Linked DNA regions of Nothobranchius furzeri. The protein of the gene in region 1 binds, or shares a complex with, the protein of each later gene. Links are inferred from orthologs where the notes say so. Each region holds a gene or a part of one and is shown on either strand. Other genes may lie near its edges. The genes, in order: bcas2, ctnnbl1 and rbm22.

Region 1 (3,756 bases):
TAAAAATATCAAATAAACGTGTTACAAAAAACAAAGACAGATGACAATGGAAGTTATTATAAAAGCTCATTTTGTTACAAACAGCATTTTAGAAAATAATAAATGTAAGTTAATGTGGAGTCCTTTCATTTTGGCTTCAAATCTGACAAATTATTTACAATTCTAAAAACTTTGTTGAAAGGCAACTTAAAAAACAGCTAGATTTATGAGGCTTATGTGTAGTAACTATTGGAACTACTGCCAGGGTATCAGTAGCACAAACATAAAACTTAGGACTGAAAACTCAGCTGTGTCTGAAATGACAAAATTGCAAAACAAAACAAACACTAAAGCGCTGCAAACAGAAAATAAAACTATTACAGGTGTGTTTGCGTTTTCAGCCTGAAATAAGATGAGATCGGAATCTACAGTTTTGCTTAGAGCAAACACGATTCTGATAAAAGTTCATTTTAAACATTCCAACAATGTTTTTAGTGGAAAATCCTAAACATGTGGTTGATTTAAAGATCTGTAGAAAATGTGTCTGATTGAGGGAACGTTAGTTTTGAGTTTGCGTGATTCTTCAGAAGTCCTGACAGATGTTCTCCTTGTTCTCGTCTCCCTGCTGTTGCCGGAGCTGACCTACTTCATTCTCCAGCTGGACTATGGCTCTCTCGATCTCGTAGTTTTTACTGACCAGAGACACCCAACTGTCAAACAAAAACACAGATGTTAAGACATCTGGAAACAACGTGTTCTCTCCACACAGTGACATGGAAGTTGTTCAGAAGACACACTTAGACTCCAGCTCGCGTAGTTTGGCCCCCGCTGCCAGCTGATCATTCTTACGCTGCCAGTTCAAATCTTGAATTTGCTTCCTGTCAACCAAAGTAATTGTTAAGCTTCTAAATATGAATTCTCAAAGCCCTTTAAATTAGCAAACAATGTCCAGGCATCGCAATTCACCTGAATTTGTGGAGTTCCTTTTGAGCCATCTCAATCAGAAAAGCCAGATTACTGTGGAAGGAGAACAAAAAAAATAATTAACAGTCTTCAAATAAAACAATGGTACTATTTCTGAAAAATAAAAGCTGCCATAACTCACTCATTGTAGACTTTCCATGCATTTGTTCCATACTGTGACATGAGCTCCAGGTTCTCAATGCGAACTGCTTGGTGCTCCAGCTGGGCCATGGAGTTGTTCACACACTCTTGCCACGCTGTAATGTCATTCTTCTGTCCTGAAGTTGGAGCTGGCAGCTCGTATCTTCACAGGCAGGAAGATATTAGAACATAATGTCCATATTTATTAAAATACTGAGCAAATGATTTGCAAAGCAAACATATATCTTGCAAGGCAACTACCACCAGAGCAGTTTTTACCTTTTCATGCTCAAAAGATCCATAGGCGAACGTGCCGCTAACCGCTCAAATTCGTTTCTCATAATTTCTGTCTGGAAGGGTGAAAACAAAGTGCAGTAAGTTCTGTGTCAAAGTCTGAAAGTCCATAAGAAGACCTCACATTTCTAATTAGATTCTTACCTCAAAAGCAGAGAAGTCAGGTGTAGGTAGGTAGCTCAGGTAGTTCTTCGTAGGTCTGTACCTTCTTGTCTCCTCCTCAACCAATGCAGCTGCCTAAGGGATCAAACAGGGTTTATGTTTGGTTCTGCAGCTTTAAAACCAACTTTCTCATTACTATTCTACGGCAATGCCCTGTCAAGCTTAATTCGCTATTTTGTAATAACAAAGGATGACAAATATTAAATACATAAATAAACTAATATATGAAGACTAAATCTGATTTTAGGTTTACAAGGAGCAAGAAGTACAAAAAGAAGTTATAAAACATCCACATAAAAGCTCCAAAGATGCCTAAAATGGTACTTGTCTATGACGTTGTTTACATCCTTATTTACTAAACGCAAATACAGATAACCATTTGATCACTGTTCACAAGGTTTAATGTGGCATTATCAACTATACAATTCAACAAGTTCACAGTTTGAATCTGAAAGATTCTAGGTGTTAAAATCTCAAATTATGCATCTTTTCCCGTGCCAAACTCAAAGGATAATTAGTCACATTAGAACCCAAATAAACCAAATTTAAAGAAAGGAAACATGTCATAAAATGTCTCTGCGACCTATTATGCAAATATATAAAATTTATATTCGTTTCATGTTGTTTTAACAAAATTCGTGCATTTGTTGAGATTCTTTGGTTTCTTCGTCTAGCAGTCTATTACGCACTAATAAACACTAACCAGCTATATATAAAAATAAACGCGTTAGTTTGGTCTATACAAGTAATATTAATTTAACAGTTAAAAGGCCATCGACTTTAAGGATTAATGAAAGTTTCCATGTAGCGTGTTGGCTAACACGCTTCTGATAGCAAACATTTTTTATTTCACTCACCGCCTCTCTGACACCTGGCGCATCATAACCTTGGTCGAAATACGGCAAAGCATCAACAAACACTTCACCCGCTACTGAAGCTGTCCCGGCCATTTTAATGAGTCTATTTACTGATTAATTTGTTGATTTATTTCTTCCTCGGCGGCTAGTAGCTAACTGAACCCAAGTTCTTTTTCCGGTGAAGAGTTTCAAAATAAAATGTCCTACATTTTTTTCCGTGCTCATACATAATGCTTACGGTTCCGTGTTCGATAGGAATGTGACGAAGGCAGTGCGTGATGAAGATGCACATCGAAGATGCGCATAAAAATACAGTTGAACTCCAACTGTGACCTGTTTTCCCTCTACCCTAATTTTTAGTAAATTTTCCTTGAAACCTTATGTACAAGACCCCATATAAAACTGTGCAAACGTTTTAAACCACCCATAATTTCTTCAAAACACGATTCCAAGACGCAACATTTCCTTGTAATATTTTAATATAGACTTAGTTTTAGAGGCTCCAAGAAGGTTCTTTTAAATGCGCGCGCGCGCGCGTGTGTTTAACGAGCATTAACGTAATTTCCCATTTTCTGTTTTGTCACCTGACTATGACAGCATTGGACCATTTTTTTAATGTAGAAAAGTGGATTGGTAGAAGACACAATTGAAGAATTTGGATCACTGACCCTGCCACCACCACAAGCCATATGTGTGCTCCATTTTTTAAATCAAAATCACATTGGCACCAGATAATATCTCATCCACACCAGATAGTTTCTCAGAAATTATCTGATGCAGACTGATACTATCTGGAGTACATGAGATCTGATGCTCATATGAATCTCTAGCCTGGACAGCCATGCCAATGTGTAGAATAGAAAGGGGGTAAGTCTGGCTGGTGTGCACAAAATACCAGCCTTTTTACCCACTTCAAATGCAAGAAATACATTCCAACAAAAATCAGAGATTTTTAAAAAAAGTATTCAATTGATTGATTGACTGAAAACTTGAGAAACCCATCCTCTTTCATTTGATCATCTCCACAGGTTATCTGAACGATGTTTTTTTTTTTAATTTTTTGGGGGGGATGATTTAATTAATTAAATAAAACATTTGGTTAGTATTCTTTAAAAGAAATATCAGTAACCCTATGATGAAACCTAAAATTAACTACTTTTGGGCTTTTAAGAGGAGATCCTTTCAGTATAGATGAGCTCTCGAACACTCACAAATTGATAAGTTGGCCATGAGTTAAAGCTGCTTTAGTGAATCTACAGTACAAGCTAGGTTTAGAGCGCAAACACCATCACAAAACACGCACCCTCTTCCCTTGTTTACCTTCCCCGAGATACTTCTACTGGAAATGGACACCTGCGTT
Region 2 (3,656 bases), about 140 kb from region 1:
GCAGCTGATTTTGAGCCCAGAAGATGTTCCAATGGTAAATTTTGTTGTAAAATAAAGTTATTAGTAGAAATTTGTCCTTATCCTGTACAATTTGTCTCTGAACATAGTGCTGGAACGGGTCAGCAGTGAACCAACATCCCAGCAACTGGAAAATTTGTTCTCTGAACACCAGAGTGTTTGTGTTCCATAGTCAACCTTTAACTGTGTATTACTGTTATTATTGTTGCACTTATAGTAGCATAAGCATATTAATCATTTTGGTTTCAGGTGGTCCTCCAAAACGCTGAACTGTTGGTGTAAACCTTTTATTGTAAAGTGCTTTGGGAAATGTAAAAATCCTAAAGCTGCGACAAAGAGAAAAGGTCAAATAACATTCTGGTATTTAGAGTGATATCTGCTTCAGATAGAAGCGTGTAATATACATTTAAAGTCTGTCAATTTATAGAAGTCCTGAAAAATATGAAACAACAGCTGAAAGCCTGATCTGGGAAACCTTTACCTTTACGGATATGAGGGATGGGATCCCTGGCAAGCTGCGGGATGATTTACGGTTTAGGAAGTCTGTAGTGCATCCCACTCATGGGATTTCTTGTAGATTAAACCTTTACCTGAGCATGAGATTCATTAGCTGAAGCCCTTCTCCTTTGAGGAAGCGATCCCGATTAGAGGGCAGCATGAGGCAGGAACACAGAGCATCAAACAGATTTTCCATCATCTCCTGCTCCTCAGCCGTGTTCGGATTGTGACGTTTGAACACCTGAGAGAAAAGGACAAGGAGTGGGAAGCACTTAGAAAAAAGATGACATGAAGGATTATACCTTTGTCTACTAATTTAGCATCTAATTATGAAATAAAGCTAATTCCAAATAAAAGCCACACTAAACCAAACATTCATCAGTGGTGGGGTTGCTTGCACAGCTTCACGTTAGACAAAATGCGTTGCAGGAGAACAGGCGCCGGGCGTGTTTAGAGCTTAGAAATAAGTTAAATGTTTGAACCACGGATGTGCAATATTATTGGTTTATTATTAATATCGACAGATATTGGCATAAAAAATGTAATACCGGACAATATTGGTATCGGTTTTGACCCAACCTTTTAACTCGTTAACTGCCAGCCGTTTCCTGATCAGAAAAGCCTTTCGCTGCCAGCGGTTTTCAGCATTTTCACAGTTTTTTTAAGAGTCACATAACGTTGCGCGCTAGGATGATGTCAATGCGAAAACTACCAAAACAAAGAGGAGACTCACTTCTTACATCAGGAAGAATCCACGCGTTTCGAGCGTTATCCGTTCTTTCATAATCCGTTGTTGAATTGTGATCGGCAGAAGCTTTTCCGGTTCGCGCCTCACTTTTTTTACAGCAACGTCCGAAAACGATCTCCTAACACATGGATTTTCTGCTTCCTGATCACATGACGTGTGATGTACGCGAATGAAGATCAGCTTTAGAGCTGAGATGTTCGTTCTCATGGTGCGGGGGCTCGTTCCGACGCCCACACAGTAAATAAATGCAAATGGTGACTTTAGTCGTCATTGGCGGTGAATGAGTTAATAACATCCACATAATATACATCAAATTCTTCAGCTACTTATTCTCTCTCTCAAAATGTTAAAATATGACAGATCTGAGGTAAGGTTATTGACATATTTTAGTTTTTTTGACACAATTTGAGAAGTAGAAATTTGCCCTGTGTGGTGAACGTACACCGTCCTGCACCTGGCAATGTGTAGCTAGACGGCTAACAAACGACTAATGGGAGATATGTGATGTGTTAGTAACCTAAAATATTTCAGTTTTTCTTTTTTATGAGGGAGGGGCATAAAATTAATCAGTATGTTTAAATTGGTATTGGAAATTAAGAGTCAGACAATATCGGTGTGTCTGATATTGGTAAAAAAAACAAAAAGAAAATATCGAGCATCCCTAGTTTGAATACAAGTGAGAGAAAAAAATAAAAGTTCTTACAGATAACTGCTGCAGTAGCACATCAATACCATCCATTTCACCCAGCAGTTCTCTGGTACCTGTAAAGAAAGAGAAAATAAAAAGACAACAAGGTGAATGAAAAGGAGGCAGAAATGAGTTCACAAGATTCCGATTATAAAAATGAGCATTTAAACAAAAATGATTTGTGCTAAACCTAAATCAATTACTTTAACAAAATAATGACTAAGGAAATAAGATGGGACAATTTAAAGGCATCGGGAGCTTCCACACTAACGCCTCTGCTGTTTTATATGATATCTTTTAGATTTTTGTTTTTATTGAAGTCTAATAAAAATAAGTAGATGCAAATTAGGACATCAGGAATGTTGCCTATGTTGTTATAATTTCCCATTTTATGTGGCTATATATATATATATATATATATATATATATATATATATATATATATATATATATATATATATATATATTAAACAGGATAGTACTCAAGACAGCATGTGTCCTTGTTTTGGCAAAACATAGTTTTGTATAAATTTTTCATTTTGAAATGCAAAAGAGAGAGAGAGTTATAATGGAGGCAGCACAAGAGAAGAGTGGGGAAATAGGTGCGAAATGAGAAATGACTTCAGCTGCATACCAATGTGATTTGTACCATTAATGAGAACTAGCCCAAGGCCCTGGTCGTCCTGTGGCTCTGATTTTACTGCCTTTCTTTTTTGTGAGGGAGGGAAAGGATGAAGACGACTGCACATAAACCAACAGAGATGGCGTGGAAAGTAACTTAAAAAGGAGGAACATTTTAGAGAGGGAGAGGACGACAAGGAAAATATTTTAACAAGTTCAATGAGAGAAATGTAACTAAGACAGAATGGAGGGTTGAAGTCAATTTAGGGTGAACAGGCGGAAAAAAGATGGAAGATAAATAAATAATTTAGAACACGTCAACAATTTACTGAGATACACTTACTGTCATTATTTTGCAGCAGAATGGCTAGAATTTCACTGCAGTACAGCTTGTTAGCATCAAACGGCATCTTTGCCTGAGAGGGAAGGAGAGCGAAGTCTAATTACCACTCCTCTTGAGAAACTCTGTTCTCCAGAGGATTACAAAATCACTATGTATTCTACAGGAAAATCTGCATTTTCTAACCTCAAGCAGAGACCTGCTTTATGCAGATTCTGTCTCACACAGTGTATAATACTGCACATCATTTCTGAACATATTTATAACCTCATTTATTTTATTCAAAACAACCCAAAAGAGGGAAAACACAGAAATTAATTCCCGCAGATGGTGTGATTCCAAACTAAACCAGACGTTTTTTTTTTAGATAAATATGAAACTAGATTTTTGTTTTTGTTACAGACAAACCTACAGTAGTTATAAGGTTTGCTCTATAACATCCCTGTCACAAAATCTCAGAATAAACATTTATCCTATACAAGTACAGCAGTTAAACAGAAAAAAACAAATCATCAAACCCGGCATGACTGAGAACATACCAGAAGTTTTATGTACTCAGAGATATCATCTTATTAGCTGGTATTCATTTCACGAGTCCTGGGTCTTACCTTGATTCTCTTGAGCAGCCACTGCATGAGTCCCTGCTGAGCAGCTTCGGTGCACAGGCCAGGCCTAAACTCCGCCATGTTTTCTATGATGGCTGAAGAAATTATGCAAGAAACAAAAAAATTCATTAACCTTAA
Region 3 (3,656 bases), on another chromosome or scaffold:
TGAATAACAAAGCTCCGCAAAAACGAACAGCCTTTAGTATAACAGCAGCATAACTCACAACACCAATGTGTACTGGATCAACCAGGGTCTCGGGTCAGTAGTGAGTAAGGCCATTATTGGCATGTTGTTGGTTGGTGTGACGTTTGTTCACTATGACATCACGTTTATCTACAGACACGAGAAGCCCACAGATCCCGATGACCCGCTGGCCGATCAGAACATTAAAGACCGTTACTACGGCATCAACGACCCAGTCGCTGACAAGCTGCTGAAGCGAGCCTCGACTATGCCCCGACTGGACCCCCCTGAGGACAAGTCCATCACCACCCTCTACATCGGGGGTCTGGGGGATAATGTCACCGACGGAGACCTGAAGTATAGATCCACTCAAATTTAATTTGTATATTTTTACCATTTTTACTTTACTAACCACATTCTGTTTGTGTGTTTTTGCAGGGGTCACTTCTATCAGTTTGGTGAGATTCGAACCATTACCATAGTCCAAAGGCAGCAGTGTGCCTTCATCCAGTTTGCCACTCGGCAGGCGGCTGAGATGGCTGCCGAAAAGTCCTTCAACAAACTAATCATTAATGGGCGGAGGCTGACTGTCAAGTGGGGGAGGTAAGATGCTGCCCAGCTCCACCTGGAGGGCGTGGGGTAATGTGCTTGTTAAATACCAGAGAGTGTGTTTGTAACAGCCTGAGGTGAACCCACCACCCTAACAGCTGTCACGTGACTCGTGTCAGCAGAGCATTTAAAACCTGATTATTACTCACACATTAGGAGTTTAACTACAGGGTGGGCCATTTATATGGATACACCTTAATAAAATGGGAATGGTTGATGAAATTAACGTCCTGTTTGTGGCACATGAGTATATGTGAGGGGGCCAACGTTTCAAGATGGGTGGTGACCGTGGTGGTCATTTTGAAGTTGGCCATCTTGGATTCAACTTTTGTATTTTCAATAGGAAGAGGGTCATGTGACACATCAAACCTATTGGGAATTTCACAAGAAAAACAATGGTGTGCATGGTTTTAACGTAACTTTATTTTTTCTTGAGTTATTTACAAGTTTCTGACCACTTATGAAATGTGCTGCCTATTGTGTTGGATTGTCAATGCAACCCTCTTCTCTCACTCTTCACACACTGATACCAACACCGCAGGAGAAATGCCAGCACAGGCATCTAGTATCTGTAGTTTCAGGTGCTGCACATCTCGTATCTTCACACCATAGACAATTGCTTTCAGATGACCCCAAAGATAAAAGTCTAAGGAGGTCAGATCGGGAGATCTTGGGGCCATTCAACTGGCCCACAACAACCAATCCACTTTCCAGGAAACTGTTCATCTAGGAATGCTCGGACCTGACACCCATAATGTGGTGGTGCACCATCTTGCTGGAAAAACTCAGGGAACGTGCCAGCTTCAGTGCATAAAGAGGGAAACACATCATCATGTAGCAATTTCAAATATCCAGTGGCCTTGAGGTTTCCGTTGATGAAGAATGGCCTCACTATCTTTGTACCCCGTATACCACACTATACCATCACTTTTTTGTTCCAACAGTCTTGGAGGGACCTATCCAATGTGGGTTAGTGTCAGACCAATAGCGGTGGATTTGTCTGTTAACTTCACCATTCATGTAAAGGTTTGCCTCATCACTGAACAAAATCTTCTGCTTGAACTGAGGGTCCTCTTCCAATTTTTGTTTTGCCCATTCTGCTAATTCTGTGCCCTGATCTGGGTCATCCTCGTTGAGATGCTGCAGTAGCTGGAGTTTGTAAGGGTGCCGTTTGTGAGTAGATGATATCCGCTGAAGGGATGTTCGACTAATGCCACTCTCCAGTGACATGCGACGAGTGCTACGCTGTGGGCTCTTGCTGAGTGAAGCTAGGACAGCCACATATATTTCTTCATTATTGACCGTTTTCATGCATCCACATTTTGGCAAAGCCAACACTGAACCAGTTTCACGAAACTTAGCAAGCAGTTTGCTAACTGTAGCATGGGGGGATGAGTGGTCTCGTAGGGTGTCTTGCATTGAAATCTGCTGCAATGACCCGGTTACCGCGTTCACAGATATCAACACAATTTCGATCCGCTCCTCACCTGTTAACCTCTTCGACATGTCAATGGCTGTGAACAAATAGAAACTTGTGAATAACTCATGAAAGAATAAAGTTACGTTCAAAGCAAGCACACCATTGTTTTTCATGTGAAATTCCCAATAAGTTTTATGTGTCACATGACCCTCTTCCTATTAAAAAAAACAAAGTTGGCCGACTTCAAAATGGCCACCATGGTCACCACCCATCTTGAAAAGTTTGCCCCTCAAATATACTAACGTGCCACAAACAGGATGTTAATATCACCAACCATTCCCATGTTATTAAGGTGTATCCATATAAGTGGCCCACCCTGTACAGTAAAGAATACAACTCTTCTGTTTTTAAGCTGTACACATTTTTGTTAGCTAGTGAGCTGATGTCAAAAGAAAGGTGGTTTGTTGTTTTAGGTCTCAGGCAGCAAGAGGCAAAGATGGTAAGGATGGAATCAGTGAGATGGGAATCAGACTGGATCCTGTACCTGGGCTTCCTGGAGGTGAGTCTGGAGTTTGAGTGCACATACACACACGGACAAAATAGTTGGTACCCTTTGGTCAATGAAAGAAAAACCCACAATGGTTACAGAAATAACAACAAAAGGAATAATTAATACAAATTCTATGAGAATAACCAATGAAAGTCAGACATTTCTTTTTAACCATACTTCAACTGAATTATTTATATAATAAAATAAACTCATGGAACAGGCCTGGACAAAAATGATGGTACCCCCAACTTAATATTTTGTTTCACAATATTTTGCGGCAGTCACTGTTATTAAACGATTCCTGTATATGTCAGTGAGACTTCTGCACCTGTCAGCAGGTATTTTGGCCCACTCTTCATGAGCAAACTGCTCCAGGTCTCTCGGGTTTGAAGGACGCCTTTTCCAGGCGGCATGTTTCAGCTCCTTCCAAATATGTTCACCAGGATTGAGGTCAGGACTCATAGAAGGCCACTTTAGAATAGTCCATTGTTTTCCTCTTAGCCATTCTTGGGTGTTATTATCTGTGTGTTTTGGGTCGTTGTCCTGTTGCAAGATCCATGACCTCCGACTGAGACCAAGCTTTCGACCTCCGACTGAGACCAAGCTTTCCGACACAGGCCAGGGGTCTCATTTATCAAACATTGCGTAGCATCCTTACTAAAACCGTACTTAAGCTCAGCAAAAAAAAAGTACTTACACCAAGTAGGTTTGTGATCTATCAAACATGGAGTACGCACAGCTGCACACAATCTCCGCTTCGTAAATCAGAAACTATCTAGAAAATTTCTCAGCTGTTTTTTAGTCACATCCCGCCCTCACCACACCCACTTACTGCCATAAATAGTCAATGCAAAGTGCCTTGTCGATCTCATGCATATACATAAGGCTGTTGCTGCATTGCTCCGCCAATGACGATGGCGACCGTAGATCAAGGCAGATCAAGGAAGCGAAATTTCACAGAAGCAGAAATTGAGGTACCGTATTTTCACGACCATAAGGCGCACCTAAAAGTCTTAAATTTTCTCCAAAATGTACGCCGCGCCCTATGGTGCGGTTCGC

Evidence for each region.
Region 2: bcas2 (region 1) and ctnnbl1 share a complex: the UniProt entries of both Homo sapiens proteins name them as parts of the PRP19-CDC5L splicing complex. The link is inferred for Nothobranchius furzeri from reciprocal best matches to the Homo sapiens genes BCAS2 and CTNNBL1.
Region 3: bcas2 (region 1) and rbm22 share a complex: the UniProt entries of both Homo sapiens proteins name them as parts of the postcatalytic spliceosome P complex. The link is inferred for Nothobranchius furzeri from reciprocal best matches to the Homo sapiens genes BCAS2 and RBM22.

What each region holds. Positions count from the first base shown.
Region 1 is NC_091755.1:51,937,878-51,941,633, reverse strand, and holds bcas2 (pre-mRNA-splicing factor SPF27), read right to left. Parts: upstream 2,601-3,756; 5' UTR 2,490-2,600; coding exon 2,397-2,489; intron 1,615-2,396; coding exon 1,522-1,614; intron 1,434-1,521; coding exon 1,363-1,433; intron 1,247-1,362; coding exon 1,085-1,246; intron 997-1,084; coding exon 946-996; intron 858-945; coding exon 777-857; intron 690-776; coding exon 563-689; 3' UTR 54-562; downstream 1-53. UniProt on the Homo sapiens protein: Required for pre-mRNA splicing as component of the activated spliceosome. Component of the PRP19-CDC5L complex that forms an integral part of the spliceosome and is required for activating pre-mRNA splicing.
Region 2 is NC_091755.1:51,796,305-51,799,960, forward strand, and holds part of ctnnbl1 (beta-catenin-like protein 1), read right to left. Parts: intron 3,614-3,656; coding exon 3,522-3,613; intron 2,990-3,521; coding exon 2,917-2,989; intron 2,027-2,916; coding exon 1,968-2,026; intron 758-1,967; coding exon 609-757; intron 1-608. UniProt on the Homo sapiens protein: Component of the PRP19-CDC5L complex that forms an integral part of the spliceosome and is required for activating pre-mRNA splicing.
Region 3 is NC_091741.1:95,926,496-95,930,151, reverse strand, and holds part of rbm22 (pre-mRNA-splicing factor RBM22), read left to right. Parts: intron 1-174; coding exon 175-375; intron 376-456; coding exon 457-621; intron 622-2,520; coding exon 2,521-2,606; intron 2,607-3,656. UniProt on the Homo sapiens protein: Required for pre-mRNA splicing as component of the activated spliceosome. Involved in the first step of pre-mRNA splicing.